Linked DNA regions of Stegostoma tigrinum. The protein of the gene in region 1 purifies or fractionates together with the protein of each later gene. This does not show direct contact. Links are inferred from orthologs where the notes say so. Each region holds a gene or a part of one and is shown on either strand. Other genes may lie near its edges.

Region 1 (7,248 bases):
GATCATTGTTCTCAGGGCTCCAGTGACAAAGCAACACTATTGAATGAATCCCAGGCCAGCCTTAACGCTAATATCATAGTACTGCCACAGAAGTCAGTGGAGTGCAGCAACAGCATCATTTAGTAAAGAGGATATTTGGAACACAACATTAAGTTGCAAAACAATTAGAGGCACAGTTCAAAGAGGCAGTGTCAACTTTTGTTGTTATTTCTGGCTTAATTAGAAGCATTCACTTCTGAATCATAAGGCTCCAGGTTCACAATCCTACTTCCAGGACTTGAGTATAAAAATCCTGCCTGATACTCTGGTGCAGCTCTCACTGCTAGAGGTGAGAGATAATGGGAACTGCAGATGCTGGAGAATTCCAAGATAATAAAATGTGAGGCTGGATGAACACAGCAGGCCAAGCAGCATCTCAGGAGCACAAAAGCTGACGTTTCGGGCCTAGACCCTTCATCAGAGAGGGGGATGGGGTGAGGGAACTGGAATAAATAGGGGGAGAGGGGGAGGCGGACCGAAGATGGAGAGTAAAGAAGATAGGTGGAGAGAGTATAGGTGGGGAGGTAGGGAGGGGATAGGTCAGTCCAGGGAAGACGGACAGGTCAAGGAGGTGGGATGAGGTTAGTAGGTAGATGGGGGTGCGGCTTGGGGTGGGAGGAAGGGATGGGTGAGAGGAAGAACCGGTTAGGGAGGCAGAGACAGGTTGGACTGGTTTTGGGATGCGGGGCGGGGCAGGAGAGAGGGAGAGAGAGAGATGGGCTGGTTGTGTGGTGCAGTGGGGGGAGGGGACGAACTGGGCTGGTTTAGGGATGCAGTAGGGGAAGGGGAGATTTTGAAACTGGTGAAGTCCACATTGATACCATTAGGCTGCAGGGTTCCCAGGCGGAATATGAGTTGCTGTTCATGCAACCTTCGGGTGGCATCATTGTGGCACTGCAGGAGGCCCATGATGGACATGTCATCTAGAGAATGGGAGGGGGGAGTGGAAATGGTTTGCGACTGGAGGTGCAGTTGTTTGTTGCGAACTGAGCGGAGGTGTTCTGCAAAGCGGTCCCCAAGCCTCCGCTTGGTTTCCCCAATGTAGAGGATGCCGCACCGGGTACAGTGGATGCAGTATACCACATTGGCAGATGTGCAGGTGAACCTCTGCTTAATGTGGAATGTCATCTTGGGGCCTGGGATAGGGGTGAGGGAGGAGGCGTGGGGGCAAGTGTAGCATTTCCTGCGGTTGCAGGGGAAGGTGCCGGGTGTGGTGGGGTTGGAGGGCAGTGTGGAGCGAACAAGGGAGTCACGGAGAGAGTGGTCTCTCCGGAAAGCAGACCGGGGTGGGGATGGAAAAATGTCTTGGGTGGTGGGGTCGGATTGTAAATGGCGGAAGTGTCGGAGGATGATGCGTTGTATCCAGAGGTTGGTAGGGTGGTGTGTGAGAACGAGGGGGATTCTCTTTGGGCGGTTGTGGCGGGGGCAGGGTGTGAGGGATGTTTTGCGGGAAATACGGGAGACGCGGTCAAGGGCGTTCTCGATCACTGTGGGGGGAAAGTTGCGGTCCTTAAAGAACTTGGACATCTGGGATGTGCGGGAGTGGAATGTCTTATCGTGGGAGCAGATGCGGCGGAGGCGGAGGAATTGGGAATAGGGGATGGAATTTTTGCAGGAGGGTGGGTGGGAGGAGGTGTATTCTAGGTAGCTGTGGGAGTCGGTGGGCTGCTAGAGGTGCCCTTTTTTTGCACAAGAATAGATCAACTCCTCTTAGGCATACAGTGCTGCCAACAAAAGCCAATTTACTAGAAATAAGGTAACACATCAATAAGTCTGACCTATCACAGGACTCTAGCATTCTTTGCAAGACCATTGATTGCGTGGAGCTCAATTTAACATTTAGACCTACTGTCTTAAAATCTGATGAAAACATAGACTGTCTCATTTCACCTCTAGTTATCATGCCAGCTACCTTAGGTGGGCCAGGAAAAGTTTCTCATTATTTAATCTTTCAAAACATTTCAAACTGTGCTTTCCCTGGTACTTTTCATGTAAGCCTAACATCTTACCTAAAACAAGGCACCCAGAATGAAAAATATTCCAGTTGCTTTTAGACCCATTATTTCATACTTTGAATTTTATAATCTAAGGCTTGGAAATCCCTGCCTTAACCTCATTCTCTCCCCACATTAAAACATTCTTTGCTTAAAGCTACCTGTGATCAAGTGGACATCCAAACTCAATTCCTTGGAGGTTGTTAAAGCACAGTTTTGTCCAGTTAACATTTCTGTGAATCATCTTGGAATGACACTACATGCAAAATACGGCACAAATGCAAGTTACTATATCAGAACTAGTCCAGATTTTCCATGCTTTTAAAACAAAAGGAACCTGCAGGGTTTTTTTTTGTCAGCAGGGTGTGTGTGGAAGTGAAACACTCAGCTACGATTCAAAACAGAGGACACCAGGATGACACACACTGACGAACCTCGGGACAGATGAACACATTAAGAAGCTGCTAATATAAATGCAGGCTGTTGTTGCAGCTCAGAGATCCCAATTGTGACCATAGTCACAAATAAAAGCAATCCTTTAAAACAAGTAGAATTTTAAAAATATTTACCGAGTAGGTAAAAATATTTTTAAAAATCAGTAGAATAAAAATTGAAACATTACACATCAACAGTAAGAACGAGGTTAAGATGGTACAATTTGAAAACAAAAATCAATTAAAAGTCACATTTTTCATGATTTTTTTTTGCTTGGAAGTGGTCACCCCGGGGGCGAAATAAAATAGTTTCAAACTTTAAAGGAGCCATTCATGGAGACTGACAAAAGAAGAATAAAGTTGAAGAACGCGAGAGCTGGTTAGAAGTGCGTGATCTAAAATCAATCGATCGAGAGGAGTTTAACCTGACAATCTATACTCACGTTGTTTTCATCGTTAGTTTTTAATTATAACAGACAGCGGGGCAATACTCCTCCCGCAGCCGCTCCAGCTACAGCTCTGCCTCCGCGCCGACACCAACCGCCGTCAATTCAAATCCCGCGCCTTTCCCATTGGCCCGGGCTCTCCCCACCTCCCATTGGACAGGCTCCATCCTCCTGTCAATCAGGCCGCGGGTCCGGTGCGCACGCGCACTTGTTCCCTTCCCGTACATGGTCTGCCCAAGGGGAGGGGCCAGCCAAGCCCATGCGCATCGCTGCGAGGGGAACTCAGCGGACTTCATCGGCATGGCGGAATTTGCGCATGCGCGCCGCCACGGCTTGCAAGCCGAGGGAGCGAGCGAATGCGCACCGCAGCCGAGTGGGGACAGTTGAAGTTGGGGATGAAGGGTCTGGGCCCGAAACGACAGCTTTTGTGCTCCTGAGATGCTGCTGGGCCTGCTGTGTTCATCCAGCTGCACACTTTGTTATCTGGGGACAGTTGAAGCATGCGCACCGCTTTTGCGAGGGGAAGCTGGCGCATGCGTATTGCCACAGCGGAAAGCTGGCGCGTGCGTATTCCTAGCTGTCAATGTCACTAGTGTCAAGGTTTATCATTAACCTAGAGCTTGTTTGATTTCTCCATTGTTGCTCGGATCACGAAACTATAGTTATGAGAAAACTATAGACTGGAGGCTTGTGACCAGCAATGTGCTGGGATAATGGGAACTGGAGAATCCAAGATAATAAAATGTGAGGCTGGATGAACACAGCAGGCCCAGCAGCATCTCAGGAGCACAGAAGCTGACGTTTCGGGCCTAGACCCTTCATCAGAGAGGTCCAATGTACTGGGTCCACTGCTTTTTGTCATTTCTATAAATGATTCGAATGTGAACATAGGAGGTATGGTTAATGAGATTGAAGCTGTAGTGCACAGCGAAGGAGGTTACCTCAGAGTACAGTGGGACCTTGATCAGATGGGCCAATGGGCTGAGGACTGGCAAATGAACTTTAATTTAGATAAATGTGAGGTGCTACATTTTGGAAAGGCAGATCAGGGCAGGACTAATACAGTCATAGGGTATGGTGAAAAAGCAAGTAAGTGCTTCACTACGCCAGGAGGAGGAGGAATACCTCTTCCAAGTGTTCAAGGATAATAGATATTCAAAGAACTGGGTCAGGAGATGCCTATAGGAACAGCATCAGAAAGATTCTACATGCCCCGACACACTCATCACACTACCCCTACATGAGGAATACATCAGAACTCACCACAAGACTTCTACGACCACTGGGCATCAGAGTGGCACACAAACCTACATTAACCCTGTGACAAGTGCTCATCCAAACTAAAGATCCACTCCCCGCCATGGACAGGACCAATTTCATCTGCAAGATCCCCTGCAGAGACTACGAGAAACACTACATCAAACAAACAGGAAGGAAACTAACAGCAAGAATACATGAACACCAACTGGCTACAAAAAGACACAACCAATAATCACTCACCTTAATCCACATGGACAAGGAGAACCACGACTTTGACTGGGACAACACCAAGATCCTGGGACAGGCTAGGCAGAGACAAGCACGAGGATTCCTGGAAGCATGGCACTCCACGAAGCAGACTCTTAATAAACACATTGAACTCGACCCCGTATACATTCCACTATGAAGGAAAACTGGAAGTGAGGCAATCCATCTTACCGGACCCCAGAGTTTAAAAACCAGGCAGGAAAACACACCGATGCTTCATCGGAGGCTGCACTGAGGATGTTACCAAGCACTGTAACGAAACATCTGCGAAACATCAAACCAGCTCGGCGAGCCAACCAACCTCAACACACACAACCTGAGCTACAGATCTACTCTAAAACCTTAGAGCTACATGTATGTTTCTATATGCTTTGATTTGCCTGAGGTTTGTTTGGCCTGTCGCTTTCAAGGGAATGACGTTCCAGATTGCACTCAATTGGTATTAAGGACCATTCAAGTCATTGTGACATGATCAACTGCTTACAGTCTCTGCTCACACGTGCCCTCAAACAGATGCTGCTGGTATAGCAGCGTAATTCACGTAATGGGGATTTTTAAATAGAACGTAAAATACAGGAGCAGAAATAGGCCATTTAGCCTATCAAGTCTGCTCATCATTCAATGAGATTATAGCTGATCTGATGATTCTCAACTCTACTTTCTTGCTTTTTCACCACACCCTTACTGATTAAACATTTGTCTATCTCAGCCTTTAATATAATTATTTATATACCTTGACAATCCTCTATGGTAAACAATTCCACAGATTCTCTACTGTCTCAGAAAAGATATCCCTCCTTATCTCTGACTTAAATGTGTGACCCCTTATTCTTAACTGGACTATCCTACAAAACACTACCCTGCTATATAACAGCCGTAGCCAGGCTTTCTTAAATTCTGGTATTTAAGCAATATCTTTCATGACTTTGACATTCAAAAAGTGTTATATAAGGGAGGATTTTTAAAACTTTTATTACTGACCTAATTTAAGAAACATGACAACCATTTTGCACACAACAAGATTCCTCAGACAGCAATGCAATAATGATGAGATAATGTTCTTTCGGTGATGTTGATGTGAGAGCTGGGTATTGGCCAGGAGACCAGGGAAAACTCACTACTACTCCTCAAAACATGCCCATGGGATCTTTTATCTGATGCCCTTCTGAGGATCTCAGCTCAATGTTTCATCCAAAATCCTGCATCTCTGATGTGTAGCTCTCGCTCAGCATTGCACTGGAAGTGTCAGCCTGAATAATTTGTTCGAGTCTCTGCCATGTGCTTTAAAGCCATGACCTTCTGTCCCCAGGGAGAGTTGGAGCCAGTGTGGACATTTTGGAGGCAACTTGACACAGCCCCTGACTGGCATCCAGATTTGGAGACTCTTTGTGAAGGGAGAATAGGTTCAGGAGCTGCGTTATCCTTAAAATCGGTTTGAAGGTTCTGGGTATCAATTGGGAACCCACCGTTTACTTTCACTGTTATAACCTTTGCAAATTGCTGATGAGCCACTGCTCTGGGTAGAAGGAGACATGTTTGGGAGCAGAAGTAAGCCTTTCAAGGCTACATCATTCACTATATTCAAGGCTGAGATAGATTTTTATTCAGTGAAGAAATCAAGGGTTACGGGGTAAAGGTAGGAAAGTGGAGCCAAGGATTGTCATGTCAGCCATGATCTCATTCAAAGGAGGAGCAGACTCAATGGGCTGAATGGCCTATTTCTGCTCCATCTTATGGAATATTTGATATGGAATATGTGTTCTGAGGAAGGGGCACTGGAACCAAAGCATTAACTCTGATTTCTGTCAGAAGGTGCTGCCAGACCTGCTGAGCTCTTCCAGCAATTTTTTTGTCTACTTATGGAACATCGCCTTGCGCAAAGCCGAGCCCTGCCACAATGGGTGCCACAAAGCCAGGTAGAACGTGATTGACACCTGGCCCAGCAGGAGTGAGCTGGGTGTAATGATCACTCCCTGACTATAATATACTTGGTGCTCAAGGTGCCAGTGGCTTGTTTGTGTAGTGAGTAGGGAAATGAAGCCTGTGCTTGTTTCAATTCTGAGCACTTTTGATTTAAGTATAAAAGTTATTCATAAATTATGTTTGAAGGCTTATCTGTCTGTGCCAGCCTCAAAGTGATCAATGATAAGATGCTGGGCTCCAATGGGAATTGTGGTGGAGTAGCAGTGATTTACAGAAGGTTGTGAGATGGGAAGTGGATATGGACCATGAGGTGTGTAGTTGGTCCTTAACAAGTGATTGGGGTGGCAGTGTGCAATACAGTGTCTGCCATGCTGAATCTATGCTGTGAGAATTTGTCATTGTGCCGTTTGACAGTGAAGGACAATTCCAGACTGCCAATGCTTGACCAAATGTATGGCCAGAGTTCAAAGTACAAGAGCCAGTGATGCCTGACAACTCCCAGATTTTGGAAAACTGCATTCAATTCTGATCTCCCTGCTATAGGAAACATGTTATTAGGAAAGATCCCCAGCCTCTGGCGGTGATTCCCAGCCCCCTGCAGCGATTCCCCTCTGGTGATGATTCCCAGCCTCTAGTGTTGGTTCCCAGTCTCAAGCGGCAATTCCCAGCCTCCAGTAATGATTACCAGTGTCCGGTGATGATTCCAGGCCTTAAGCAACAACTCCTGGCCTGGCACAATGGCCTGCCACAGCAGCCTCCAGGCATGGCATGGCAATCTCCCAGCCTGGCACAGTGGCTTCTTCCCATAGAAACATCATTCCATGGTGTGGGGAACTTCCAGCCTCCTGCATTGGCCTCCTCTTGTAGGGGCCTCCCAGTATGGTG
Region 2 (7,421 bases), on another chromosome or scaffold:
AGGAGTACAAGCACATAGTTCATTGAAAGCAACGTCACAGGTGAACAGGGTGGTGAAGACATTTAGCATGCTGGCCTTCATCAGTCAAGGCTTTGAGCATAGGAGTTGGGATGTCATGTTACAGTTGTACAAATCATTGGTCAAAAAGAATTTGGAATATTGTGTATACCTTTGGTCAGCCTGTGAAATGGAAGACAGAGTTAAACTGGAAAGTGTGCAAAGATGATTTACAAGAATGTTGCTAGCACTAATAGGCCTGAGTTATTGGGAGAGGTTGGCCAAGATAGGACTTTATTTCTTGGAAGGTAGGAGAATGAGGGGTGACCTCATTGAGGTGCTTAAAATCATGTGGGACATAGATAGGGTGAATGCATATAGTCTTTTCCCAGGGAGGGGGAGTTGAAAACTAGAGGGCATAGGTTTAAGGTGACAGGGGAACGATTTAAGAAGGACCTAAGGGGCAACTTCTTCACACAGTGGTGTGTATATGAAATGGGCTGTCAGAGAAAAATGGCTGAGGCAGATACAATAGCAACTTTAAGAAACACCTGAATACGTACATGGATGAGAAGGGTTTAGAGGGATATGGACCAAATGCGGGCAATTGGAACTAGTTGAGTGGGCACTGTGGTCGACTTGGACCAATTTGGACCAAAGGGCCTGTTTCTATGCTGTGTTACTCTAACTCATAACAAGAAACAAAGGCAATTGTGGACGGCTGTTTTGCTAACTGGAAGGCTGCTTTCCATTGGTGTTCCAAGGCTCAGAACAGCGTGTCCTGTTTTGTGGCATATATTAACAAAAGACAAGATAAAGTTTGCAGATGTCAAAAACTGACTGCATGATTGATAGCAAGGAGGTAGAAATATAACCATTAGATCGGTCTGGTTAGTAGACAAGTGACAAATGGAATTGAACCTAGAAAGCTGCAAGATGATGTGCATGGGCAAAGAAATGTATAATTTTCAGGAGTAGATTAAAAGGTGCAAAGAAAATGAAGGACCTCAGAGTGAATGACCACACATCCCAAAGGTAGTAGAGAAGGTCAAGTAGGTGGTTAAGGTAGCATATGGAATGTTTCATTTATGAGCATGAGGTATGAAATACAAGAGTAGACAGGTTACCCTGGAAATCTACACAAGTTATATTATAAAATAATTTATAACTTGTGCAATTCTAGACACTTCATTACATAAAGAATTTAAAGGCTCCAGAGGAGTGTCTGAACAAATTGATTTTAAAAAAATTGGTAACTGCACTACAGCAGGTGCCACACACATTTGCAAGCATTTTACCGAGAATGGGAAAACTGGAGTTATTCTCTTTGGAAAAGAAGTGGCTTAGGAGAGATTTGATGAAGATGTAGAAAATGGTGAAGGGCTCAATAGAGTAGTTAGGTAAGTATTTTTCTAGCAAGGTCAGTGACTAAGAGGTATAGGTTTCAAATATCTTAAGAGATTGGGGAGGGGCACAGGTAGAAAAGGGAAAAAAAAGACTTTTTGCCCAGAGGCAGTGTGTTTGAAACTCACTGCCAGATAGAATACCAGTAAAAAAAATCTCTGGAGGTACATTCAAATCGGCAAAGTGCACGGACTCAGACCAAACACTGAAAAGTGGACAAAGACAGAACATGCTGGAGAACTGCATATCTGGCAGCATTGTTAAGTTTGTTTTTCCCTCTACAAAATACTGCTAAGCCTGCTGAGTTTCTCCAGCACTTTCTGTTTTTGTTTCAGATTTCCAGCACTCTTGGTTAGGGGGTTACACAGCATGAAAACTCTGCTTTATTTTCTGAAAAGGGCTCAGAAAAGATTTGCAAGGATGCTGCCAGGGTTGTAGGGTTTGAACTAAAGGGAGAAGCTGAATAAACTAGAGCTAATTTCCCTGGAGCATCAGAGGCTGAAGGCTGACATTGTAGAAGTTCATGAAATCACAAGGTGCATGGTTTGGGCAAATAGCCACGGTCTTTTCCCCAGCACAGAGGGGTCCACAATTGTAAGGTATCGGCTTAGTGTATGTTACTTAAAAATGAACCTCAGGAGCAACTTTTTCACAGAGCGTGGTCCGTGTATGCAATGAGTTACCAGAGGAAGTGGTGGAAGCGGGTACAATTCAAAACATTTAAAAGGCATCCAGATGGGTACGTGAATAGGGAGGGCTTAGAAGGATATGGCCAAAGGGTCTAGATTAAGTTAGGGTATGTGGTCGGCAAGGATAGGTTGCACTGAAGGGTCTGTTTCCAGGCTGTATATCTGAAACTGTTTTATTGACAAGTGAAATTTGTTTAGATGGCTCCATTCTTTGTTGATGCAGTCGCCATGGGCCAAATGACTTTTTGAGATGAAAGCTTTAATGATTCTAACAGCACAAAGTGCTGTATTCCTCCAGCTCCACACTGTGCTGTCTCTAACTCCAACAAGAACTGCAGATGCTATCTCTGAGTCTCCAATATAATACCTACTTATAGTGAGCAGCTCAGGAACCTCAACCTATGTACGTATATTCGTTTGCTACAGCGATTTACACTGGGCAGAATGAATACTAAACTAAAAGCTGTGCTGTGTCTTCGAACAGATTTATTCATGAGTTTTTTTATAGTCGGAATAGCCGTTGTAGCATCTTCCGTTGAAGATGACCTCTGATGGAGCTTGGATCTTTATCAAGTGCCAATAAGGCCCGGGGGATTGTAAAGTGACGTGCCGTAACCGCTTGCGGGCATTGGAACCGGAACCTCACTCAAATATCCGCGTTACCTTCCACGGCGTCCGATACGGTCTCGATCAGGAGGTGCTCCTTGGAGGAGTCGGCGAGTCTGGAATCGAAACCGGATGAATCCACCAGAAGACTCCCGGCGCTGGCGGCCGCTGAGCTCCACTCAGCCATTATCAGTCCGGCTGCAAGCAGCGAATGTTGGGTTGTTTAGGCACACACAACCACTCCGTGTCAATCCAAGCGAACCCCCGACACAGCACCGTGGGCAAGCGTCGTGAAAAAGCGGAGCCCCAATTCAAATTTGGCGCTTTCCCTCACCTTCTAACAGCTTTGGAACCTGAGCCCACCGCAACCTCCAAACAAACGACCAAATTCAAACTTCGGGCCACCCTTCTAAACGCCTCTCTGATTGGTCTACGCAGATGCCGGCGATGCCGGGAAGGTCCTTTTCTGATTGGCCATTCTCGGAACTGTTAAGATTCTACCATCGATGATTGGAGCTGTGGGCACTTAGGCCATAGCTGATTGGTCAGTGAACTATCGTGCCCTCCCGAACGGATAAAAATGACCGTCCGCGGCTTTCGGAAAGCACAGACTTTCAAATACTGAAAATCTGGAAAAGTGATTGTTTCATAAAGCTTGTAATTGGACATGTAATGAACTACTATTCAGCGTCATACACTATATTGAAAGAAACCACGTTTGTTTACGTTTATTAATTTATATACTATATATTCAAATATCCAGTTCACAGTTTGAAAAAGTCGAACCACACGATATCAATGCTGTTAATTATAGACTATTTTTCAGGCAGTTTATAACTTAAACCACAGAACCGAGCTTCCCTTTATTTTTTCGATGTATAATGAAACAAATAATTACAGATGCTAAAAATCTTAAACTAAAGCAGAAATTGTTAGAGAGATAGTAGGAACTGCCAATGCTGGAGTATCTGAGATAACAAGGTGTGAAGCTGGATGATCACAGCAGGCCAAGCAGCATCAGAGGAGCAGGAAAGTTCGACGTTTCGGCTGGAGACCCTTCCTCAGAAACTCGTTCTGAAGCAGGGTCACTGGATTACAAACGTTAGTTCTGCTCTCTGTCAACAAATGCTGCCAGTCCTGCTGAGTTTCTCCACCAATTTCTGTTTTTGTTCCCTTTAGTCTTAACAGAAAACCACTTAACGCGTGCAGTCAGCTGATTCAACAAAGAAAACATTCCCTGGAAGCACAGTTAGTGTCGGATTCTTCTGCAGATTTGGGGAAAGATGTAGAGGCATCTGAAGCCAGAACGTACGGTTTTCTAAAGCAGAATTTTATGTTGATTTTTTGGCTACTTCCTATTTTAAAATAACTGAACATATATTAATCTTTAATTTTTTGATGTAGTCCTCTTTTTCCCCTTTAAGTTTGCATGATGTGGGTGAACATATTAGTGTAATTGCTCACTCTTGGCAGTGACAAAACGTTTTAAAATTTGTTTATTTAAAGGGACACGCTCTTCGGCAGACTTTATGACTACCAGGAGCAGTTTTATTCTTGAATTGTTTTATTTAATGCTGAATTACTACTCGTATTGGATTAGTGAAAAGCGTAAGTTTAGTTTACTTGAAAATATCAAACAGGTTTACTTGACAAACTTACATACAACTCATGTAAGCATTCTTGGTCCAGCATGCTGCTGCTTGGAATCCTCATCTGCTGATCATTCTGGTACTTGGCTCATTGGCATAAAAAAACTTAAATCAGCAACACAAAATTCCTGATTTTCTGCCTCTATGGTAAATCTACCTGCACTGAGTGAAATTATATTTACATTAGGTGGTTGCAAAACTATTTACACGAAACAAAGTTGGTAAATTTTGCCATTCTTAAAAGCTGATGAGACAACTCTACAGATCGTGTAATGGTATAACTTTCGTAATATCTAGACTTCACATTTGGTTGCCCTTGACTGGCATGTGCGTTAGTTTCTTGCAAGTTATTTGTGTTGTTCATTGTCATGATGCTCTTCCAAACCTTTGTTTTCTATGTGCAGTTGTACATTTCACTCAATTGGTTTCTGTTTCTCTTCAATGTTGCTCAACTAGGTATTGTTATTTTGAAAACTGTAGGTTTACTGAACAGGTTCATTGGTATTTTGGATACCAATGCAGGTAGAATTTTTGATGCTGATCCACAGTGCCACATGTAAATTAGGCCGTTCCACACCTGCATGATAGTCATATCTTTTCTTAATTCTCCCTTGTTTTTTCAATAAATTTGTCCCATATGTGTCAGAACATGATTTTTTCTCACTTGACTTCCAAAGACAATCTCTGCTGATAAATCCGTATCCAGAAGTATTCCTTTTAGGTGTTGCATACATAGGAATATGAACATTCCGTTTTGTCACCCTGTGCTCCATGTTAAATATTTTTAACATTGCAGATCATTTGTGCATCAAGACGATTAGATCTGAGATAATCTGGTGAAGCTGTCTAATGGCTCATGCCTCATTTGACACACAAGTCCCTAAAAAAGCCAGCCTGTAGTGTGTGCTCCACTGTTAGATATGATTTCTTAAGGTGTATTGAGTAAACTGAATATTTCACACATTATATCTGCTACAAAGACACACTAAATTTTCTTTAACTGTGACAACTGGAAATTTAGATAAATATTCATTGACAAGGAGAAAATTATCACTATGAATGGTGACTAAATCTGTTGCAAATCTGGACAAAGAGAACGATGGAATCTCATGAGGGTGTAGAAGTTCTTTGTGTTCTCTGCTTGGTGACTCTGGCACCCTGTACATCCTCAATGTTTTCTTGACATCATCATTGATCTCTGGCTAACGGACAGAATTCCTCGCCAGTCATCTTGATCGTGTGATGTCCATGTGTCGCTGAAGCTACAATGAAAGGTCTTAGCTAAGAACTTCAGGTATAGGCACTTGTTTCCCTTTAGTAATTCACCTTTTGAGATATCTAGTTCCACTTTGCATAGGTAGAAGCGTTAGAGTCTGGCTATCCTTGTATAACTTTTCAGTCATGGATCATTTGCTGTTTCTTCCTGAGGTTGGTTGTATTTGTGGTAACCAATATTTATCAGACTGATTATAAGTACTTCTTCCATCTGTGTCCATACTGTCTACTAGTGAGTCTAATTAAGCTTCCAGCATTTTTATTCAGGTTTATTAATTTGCTAAGCATGTCCAAGGTACCAGGGATGTAATAGATATCCAAATCAAATGCCTTACTCCTCACCAATCGTGGTCTTTTGTGAAAGGTGGCTGCCAAGTGACCGGAAGTGCTCAACATCTTCCAGAGTCTCTCTTTCAAAATATATGGATGGAATATTTGACTGACCAGGTTTAGATTGATATATGAGTTTAGTTTTGGCAACATTCAAGGACTAACAGAATGTCTCGTATGCAGAATTCTGAGAGATCAAAAATGGCTTGCAAATCTGGTGCAGCATAGGAAATGGCACATACTTGCAGCATGCAGTTGCCTGTATGTGCATGACAGTCAATGACCAAGTGTTTAATACACACACACCAGAGAATTGCTTCTCCTCTTTAAATCACTAATATCAGGTTGGTGTCACATTGGACTCAATATTTAAAGTGTAATGTACAAATGCATTTTTTTAAATTCATCGACTGGCCCACTGGAAATAGAGGCCAATATCCTATTTGCTTTCCTAATTGCTTGCTGTACTTACATACTAAAGGTGTTCCTGTGTCAGGAAAACCAAGGTTTCTAAACAGTAACATGTCCAAGATGCATGCTTTTTAAAAATGATTGTTTTTCTGTTCTTACAGCAAAAGCAAATAACCTCATAAACCTTCACATTACATATATACCACATTATTTCCTACTCACTGTATTTACCTCTTTGCAGCCTGTTGTTGATTTTATTGCATTGACACTTGGATTTGAATCATCAGCAAAGTTTGATACGTCACACTCAAGTTTTTTTTCTGATTCACAGAAAATTGTATAAATTTGTATAAGATTGTATAAAGCACTGATCTTTGCAGCACTCTACTGGACATAGCCTGCCAACTTGAATATATACCATGCTCCTGTCCATTAAACAATTTTCTATTTATTCTATTGTAACACCCCAAACTCCCTAAGCCCTTATCTTGCCTATTAACACTTTGCGTAGCACCTTATCAAATATCTTTTTGAAATTCAAGTATACAGCAGCTTATCCCTTATCTACTCTATTAGCTATTTGTTTTTTTTAAAAAAATTGCTAATACTTTTATCAAATACGATTTCTCTTTGATCAAACTACAATGACGTATTGTATTGTAATCATACAAGTATTTTCTAAATGCACTGTTAAAACTTTGATTGATAGATTTGAATGCTTTCCTGCTGTCAGAGATTAAACTAATTGGCCTGTGGTCTTGGTTTTCTTTCTCGCTCCTTTCTTGAATATCAATTTTACATTTGCTGACTTGTGACCTGCGAGGGCCATTCCAGAAGCTACAGCGCTTTGGAAACCAATATCTTGGTAGTTATCTCTATTTAAAAAAAAATTTAGGACATAGGCCATCAGATTATGGGGATTTGTTGGCTTTTAGTACCTCAAGTTTCTCCAGTATTTTCTTTCTGCTGAAATGAATTTCATCACTCTTAATAGCTTTAAATTATTCTCTATTTTTTATAACTGGTCTTCTATAAAATGAAGACAAAATATTTGTTCCAT
Region 3 (7,143 bases), on another chromosome or scaffold:
GTGACTAATTTCCAAATTGAGTTTATACTTCAAATTCTGCTGCTCTCTCTTCAAGTTTCCCAGGTCTAGCTGCTTTAAAAAGGGCTATTCTTCATGTCAGACTTGTTCACCGGTATTAATGGTTAGACACAAAGTAGCACATAGTGAACAGATCCACTCAAACCACCAGGACTCAAGAAATTTGAGGGGGAGAAACTTGAGCAGTGTGGATTATAATTGATACTGAGACAAAGCGGAATGAGATTGAAATGCTTACAAAACTGACACATTGAAAAATGAGAGATCAGCTTGAGGCAGAACATATACATGATGTGGGGGGGGGGGTGGTGATGGGAGGTATAGAGAAGATAATAGATTCAACACAAAAGCTCAACAGTGAGTGAAAATGCACATACATTAACTATTGAATCAATATACAAAGCACAGTGGAATCACAGGCAGACAAATTATTAATATTTAATATAATTTAATACAAAGTCAGTGGTTCTCTTAGTCCCATTGGGTAAAGTCAAAAAGAGTCAGCATATTGTACTGGCAGAAATACAAACAATTGAATCTTTGTGCTTGAAAATTAATGAATTACTTTGGTAGTCCAAATATTTTGGTTGATCTGCAAAGCTTCATGATGCAGTTTTACAGCTCACCAAGCCAGCTTTGGTATCCTATCTCCCAGTTTTATACAAATATACTGAAAACTAAAATTCAAAGTATCTCACAGAAATCTAGATGAATAACATCACTGATCATGGCCATACCCCAACATTAGCAAAGCTAAAAATGCTTACGAGGTTCAATTCCTTCATTCAGTACTTCCATCTGTCTGAGCAACTGCTCGAACATGTTGCGTAGAGTGACCATGGCAGATTCCATTTTCCTATAAAAGAGATTAATGCATAAGAAAAGCAAGGGAACTACAAGTGACAGCTTCCACACATCTCTGTTTTAAACCAAGATTCTTGGTGCAATATTGTCTTGCAATATTCACACACTGGACTTGTATGGGGAGAAAAACCAGGAGAAGATTCAAATTACTCCAAAATGTAATTTTCAACCAACTCAATTTTAGTCCTACAGTTACTTCAGGTGAGGGTCAATGTTCTGCCCACACCGATATCTGCTAGGAATGAACAGTTGGCTCAAAGTCACAAAAAAGGTATCGTGTGCATGTTTGCAGGAATAAACCTACCGATGATGCTTTAAAACAAAAATCATAAAATGGCCATCAGCCCAAAGATGGAGATCAGGCTCGTCACCAGCTCAATTTCAAAAATCCCAGCTCAGTATTAATTCACAGCAAAAGACAAGAGCTGAAGGGTTTTTAAAGAAACACAGTAGCACAATGCCAACAATCACTCAACAGCACAAAATTTACTATTAATATTTACTTCGTGGAAATTCTGAGCATGTCATGATTTTACCAGTCAGTGTTAAAGACAGCTTGATGCAAATAGTGACAAAAACAATACTTTATTAAACTAAATCATGTCCAATTATAACTGATAACAGTTTAAGGACTAAAATTTCCATGGAATTTAAATGAAGCAACTAAAACAAACTGAAGAATCTCAGTGACATATCGCAGCCAAAAGGCCTCCAGCAATATAAAAACAGTGCTGCAGCAGCAGCTCCTTGATTTCGAAGTCATTCCACAGAGATTTTTGACAATAATATTTGTTCCAAAAATAACTGCATTCGCAAGAGATTGCTTAAACAACCCTCAAATTTGATGAGGCAGTCACATTAAGTATTGCAGACCTATTAAGTGTTTAAAATCCAAGTTCTAACGACACAATGTGTTGCAACTTATAGCATTAACAGATGGGGAAACCATTCACTTCAAAGTACTAAAATTTCTGTTTTTGAATCTTGCGCCTCTCCAACTCAAATTGAACAAAAACTTTATAAAAAGCTATTGCTGAAGCAATAAATGCTGATATCTAACTACATCCCATTCAAGTACACAGAGCACTCTATGCAAGACCAGAAATGTACAGCATCAGGATTGCAGTGAGGGGGTTAAAAATCAGTGCTATGAATTGAAATTACTTCATTGAAGCTACAAGAGTGAACCACATAACATTAAAGTTAACACATTACACTTTCTCTGGGTGGAAAGAAAGTCTTTCCATTTCTCAACCCAGTCAGCATTTCTTGCCTGCAGATCCATCAACACACAAGGTTGACAGCTATATTACTGCAATTAACAAAACAATTAGTAGCACTCTTGGTTTCAATTCCCACATCAGAGAATTGAATACCAAGATCTAAACTGGTACTCCCAATGCAGTGCTGCACTGTCAGAGAAGTGCTGTCTTTTGGATGAGACATTAAACTGGTGTGGATGCAACATAATAATGTGTAGAGCTGGATGAACACAGCAGGTCAAGCAGCATCTTAGGAGCAGGAAAGCTGACATTTCAGGCCTAGACCCATTTCTGATGAAGGATCGAGGCTCAAAACGTCAGTTTTCCTGTTCCTCTGATGCTGTTTGGCCTGCTGTGTTCATCCAGCTCTACACCTTGTTATCTCAGATTCTCCAGCATCTGCAGTTCTTATTAGCTTGGTTGCATGACGATCCTGAGGCACTCTGTGACCGAACTGGGAAGTCCTCTGGTGTCCTGGCAAATATTTGTACCTCAAACTAACATAACAAAAGACAATTATCTGGGTTCATTTCCACATTTCTGTTTGCGGGAGATTGCTGTGTGCAATTTAGCCGCAGTGTTTCCTATACTACAGCAGTAATTACGGTTGAAAACGTTCATTCTTTACTGTGAAGCACTTTAGGACATTCTACAGATGGGGAAGGCGAGAGAAATACCTGGCTTTATCAAGTAGCCAATGGCCTAGTGCTATACAGACATTTTTAATACACTCGAGGGCCCAGCACATATCTCGATCACCACAAAGGGCTCGCCTTTTCTCTGATCGCGGAGATCCTGGAAGGAGACGAACGACACTTCCCGCTTTTCCACGGGGCCCAGGAGCCCGACTACCATCGCCCACCCAACTTAAAATCAACAACATCCCGCTATCGGGGGAACGGCACCGATCTCAAGAGGGGAGAGCAAAAACAATCTCTAGATTCCCGACCCATTTTCCCCCAGGAGCCCTTACCGCTTTGTCCGCCGCTCTCCACCTGGTTCCGGCTCCGTTACTCCAGACGTTTTCGCGGCCTGATTTCAAATTTGCTTCAACCGCCAATCAGGATACGGTCTCCTGACGTGCCACGTACGCCCCAATGACGCAATCACGCATCGAAGGTATTGAGATAATAAAATGTGAGGCTGGATGAACACAGCAGGCCAAGCAGCATCTCAGGAGCACAAAAGCTGACGTTTCGGGCCTAGACCCTTCATCAGAGAGGGGGATGGGGGGAGGGAACTGGAATAAATAGGGAGAGAGGGGGAGGCGGACCGAAGATGGAGAGTAAAGAAGATAGGTGGAGAGAGTGTAGGTGGGGAGGTAGGGAGGGGATAGGTCAGTCCAGGGAAGACGGACAGGTCAAGGAGGTGGGATGAGGTTAGTAGGTAGCTGGGGGTGCGGCTTGGGGTGGGAGGAAGGGATGGGTGAGAGGAAGAACAGGTTAGGGAGGCAGAGACAGGTTGGACTGGTTTTGGGATGCAGTGGGTGGGGGGGAAGAGCTGGGCTGGTTGTGTGGTGAAGTGGGGGGAGGGGACGAACTGGGCTGATTTAGGGATGCGGTGGGGGAAGGGGAGATTTTGAAGCTGGTGAAGTCCACATTGATACCATATGGCTGCAGGGTTCCCAGGCGGAATATGAGTTGCTGTTCCTGCAACCTTCGGGTGGCATCATTGTGGCACTGCAGGAGGCCCATGATGGACATGTCATCTAGAGAATGGGAGGGGGAGTGGAAATGGTTTGCGACTGGGAGGTGCAGTTGTTTGTTGCGAACTGAGCGGAGGTGTTCTGCAAAGCAGTCCCCAAGCCTCCGCTTGGTTTCCCCAATGTAGAGGAAGCCGCACCGGGTACAGTGGATGCAGTATACCACATTGGCAGATGTGCAGGTGAACCTCTGCTTGATGTGGAATGTCATCTTGGTGCCTGGGATAGGGGTGAGGGAGGAGGTGTGGGGACAAGTGTGGCATTTCCTGCGGTTGCAGGGGAAGGTGCCGGGTGTGGTGGGGTTGGAGGGCAGTGTGGAGCGAACAAGGGAGTCACGGAGAGAGTGGTCTCTCCGGAAAGCAGACAGGGGAGGGGATGGAAAATTGTCTTGGGTGGTGGGGTCGGATTGTAAATGGCAGAAGTGTCGGAGGATAATGCGTTGTATCCGGAGGTTGGTAGGGTGGTGTGTGAGAACGAGGGGGATCCTCTTGGGGCGGTTGTGGCGGGGGCGGGGTGTGAGGGATGTGTCGCGGGAAATGTGGGAGACGCGGTCAAGGGCGTTCTCGATCACCGTGGGGGGAAAGTTGCGGTCCTTAAAGAACTTGGACATCTGGGATGTGCGGGAGTGGAATGTCTTGTCGTGGGAGCAGATGCGGCGGAGGCGGAGGAATTGGGAATAGGGGATGGAATTTTTGCAGGAGGGTGGGTGGGAGGAGGTGTATTCTAGGTAGCTGTGTGAGTCGGTGGGCTTGAAATGGACATCAGTTACAAGCTGGTTGCCTGAGTTGGAGACTGAGAGGTCCAGGAAGGTGAGGGATGTGCTGGAGATGGCCCAGGTGAGCTGAAGGTTGGGTTGGAAGGTGTTGGTGAAGTGGATGAACTGTTCGAGCTCCTCTGGGGAGCAAGAGGCGGCGCCGTTACAGTCATCAATGTACCGGAGGAAGAGGTGGGGTTTGGGGCCTGTGTAGGTGCGGAAGAGGGACTGTTCCACGTAACCTACAAAGAGGCAGGCATAGCTGGGGCCCATGCGGGTGCCCATGGCCACCCCCTTAGTCTGTAGGAAGTGGGAGGAGTCAAAAGAGAAGTTGTTGAGTGTGAGGACGAGTTCAGCTAGGCGGATGAGAGTGTCGGTGGAGGATTGATGACTGTATCGGCGCCGCCTCTTGCTCCCCAGAGGAGCTCGAACAGTTCATCCACTTCACCAACACCTTCCAACCCAACCTTCAGTTCACCTGGGCCATCTCCAGCACATCCCTCACCTTCCTGGACCTCTCAGTCTCCATCTCAGGCAACCAGCTTGTAACTGATGTCCATTTCAAGCCCACCGACTCCCACAGCTACCTAGAATACACCTCCTCCCACCCACCCTCCTGCAAAAATTCCATCCCCTATTCCCAATTCCTCCGCCTCCGCCGCATCTGCTCCCACGACAAGACATTCCACTCCCGCACATCCCAGATGTCCAAGTTCTTTAAGGACCGCAACTTTCCCCCCACGGTGATCGAGAACGCCCTTGACCGCGTCTCCCACATTTCCCGCGACACATCCCTCACACCCCGCCCCCGCCACAACCGCCTCAAGAGGATCCCCCTCGTTCTCACACACCACCCTACCAACCTCTGGATACAACGCATTATCCTCCGACACTTCCGCCATTTACAATCCGACCCCACCACCCAAGACATTTTTCCATCCCCTCCCCTGTCTGCTTTCCGGAGAGACCACTCTCTCCGTGACTCCCTTGTTCGCTCCACACTGCCCTCCAACCCCACCACACCCGGCACCTTCCCCTGCAACCGCAGGAAATGCCACACTTGTCCCCACACCTCCTCCCTCACCCCCATCCCAGGCCCCAAGATGACATTCCACATCAAGCAGAGGTTCACCTGCACATCTGCCAATGTGGTATACTGCATCCACTGTACCCGGTGCGGCTTCCTCTACATTGGGGAAACCAAGCGGAGGCTTGGGGACCGCTTTGCAGAACACCTCCGCTCAGTTCGCAAAAAACAACTGCACCTCCCAGTCGCAAACCATTTCCACTCCCCCTCCCATTCTCTTGATGACATGTCCATCATGGGCCTCCTGCACTGCCACAATGATGCCACCCGAAGGTTGCAGGAACAGCAACTCATATTCCGCCTGGGAACCCTGCAGCCATATGGTATCAATGTGGACTTCACCAGCTTCAAAATCTCCCCTTCCCCGACTGCATCCCTCAACCAGCCCAGTTCGTCCCCTCCCCCCACTGCACCACACAACCAGCCCAGCTCTTCCCCCCCACCCATTGCATCCCAAAACCAGTCCAACCTGTCTCTGCCTCCCTAACCGGTTCTTCCTCTCACCCATCCCTTCCTCCCACCCCAAGCCGCACCCCCCGCTACCTACTAACCTCATCCCACCTCCTTGACCTGTCCGTCTTCCCTGGACTGACCTATCCCCTCCCTACCTCCCCACCTACACTCTCTCCACCTATCTTCTTTACTCTCCATCTTCGGTCCGCCTCCCCCTCTCTCCCTATTTATTCCAGTTCCCTCCCCCCATCCCCCTCTCTGATGAAGGGTCTAGGCCCGAAACGTCAGCTTTTGTGCTCCTGAGACGCTGCTTGGCCTGCTGTGTTCGTCCAGCCTCACATTTTATTATCTTGGAATCTCCAGCATCTGCAGTTCCCATCATCTCGAAGGTATTGAGGGCGGGGGTGGGATCGCTCCCGTCTCCTTGCAAAGAAGTCGATTCCCTCATTGGCCGATTGGAAATGTTCTAGTCATGTCACCCTGCTGGCTTGGTTCGACTTGTCTTATCTCACCTACCCAATGAAAAGGGGCACAAACCTTAAAGATTTTAACCAGACAGTCGAGAAAGGTTTGACAATAATTTGTTACTGTTGTATCATGGCTACCATTTCTTTATGCAACTTGGATCTAGATTGGCAACCTTTGTATATCCATAATTAGCTGGAACATTAGGCTGAGGCAGGAACGAAGTTGGTCATCTGCAGCTAAAACCTTCACCCGTGCCTTTATTATCTCTCGACACAACTGCATTCTGGCTGGTCTGACTCATATTCGGATAATATTCCTGTCGTTAGCTTTCCTGATGTGGAGATGCTGGTGTTGAACTATAACCTGTTAGCTTTCTTGACATTAGCGATGGGCTTCCATATAAGAGCAGGAGTCTTTTCTAAGTAAAGGATAGCTTGCTTTCTCACCTACACTCCGCTCATGGTATGCTTTATCATAGCAAGATAAAGCACGAATAAGCCGTCTCAGACCCCGATGCCTACTCATGGCTTAGCAT

What was found.
Region 2: the proteins of kif23 (region 1) and ect2 purify together in Homo sapiens (co-immunoprecipitation; 3 studies listed by BioGRID and IntAct, with this or other methods). This does not show direct contact. The link is inferred for Stegostoma tigrinum from reciprocal best matches to the Homo sapiens genes KIF23 and ECT2.
Region 3: the proteins of kif23 (region 1) and racgap1 purify together in Homo sapiens (co-immunoprecipitation; 10 studies listed by BioGRID and IntAct, counting the BioPlex papers as one, with this or other methods). This does not show direct contact. The link is inferred for Stegostoma tigrinum from reciprocal best matches to the Homo sapiens genes KIF23 and RACGAP1.

The regions. Positions count from the first base shown.
Region 1 is NC_081386.1:31,623,722-31,630,969, reverse strand, and holds the start of kif23 (kinesin-like protein KIF23), read right to left. Parts: upstream 3,020-7,248; 5' UTR 2,922-3,019; coding exon 2,911-2,921; intron 1-2,910.
Region 2 is NC_081367.1:34,083,251-34,090,671, reverse strand, and holds the start of ect2 (protein ECT2), read right to left. Parts: upstream 3,092-7,421; 5' UTR 2,884-3,091; coding exon 2,754-2,883; intron 1-2,753. UniProt on the Homo sapiens protein: Guanine nucleotide exchange factor (GEF) that catalyzes the exchange of GDP for GTP. Promotes guanine nucleotide exchange on the Rho family members of small GTPases, like RHOA, RHOC, RAC1 and CDC42.
Region 3 is NC_081404.1:14,134,166-14,141,308, forward strand, and holds the start of racgap1 (rac GTPase-activating protein 1), read right to left. Parts: upstream 3,039-7,143; 5' UTR 3,028-3,038; coding exon 2,822-3,027; intron 875-2,821; coding exon 786-874; intron 1-785.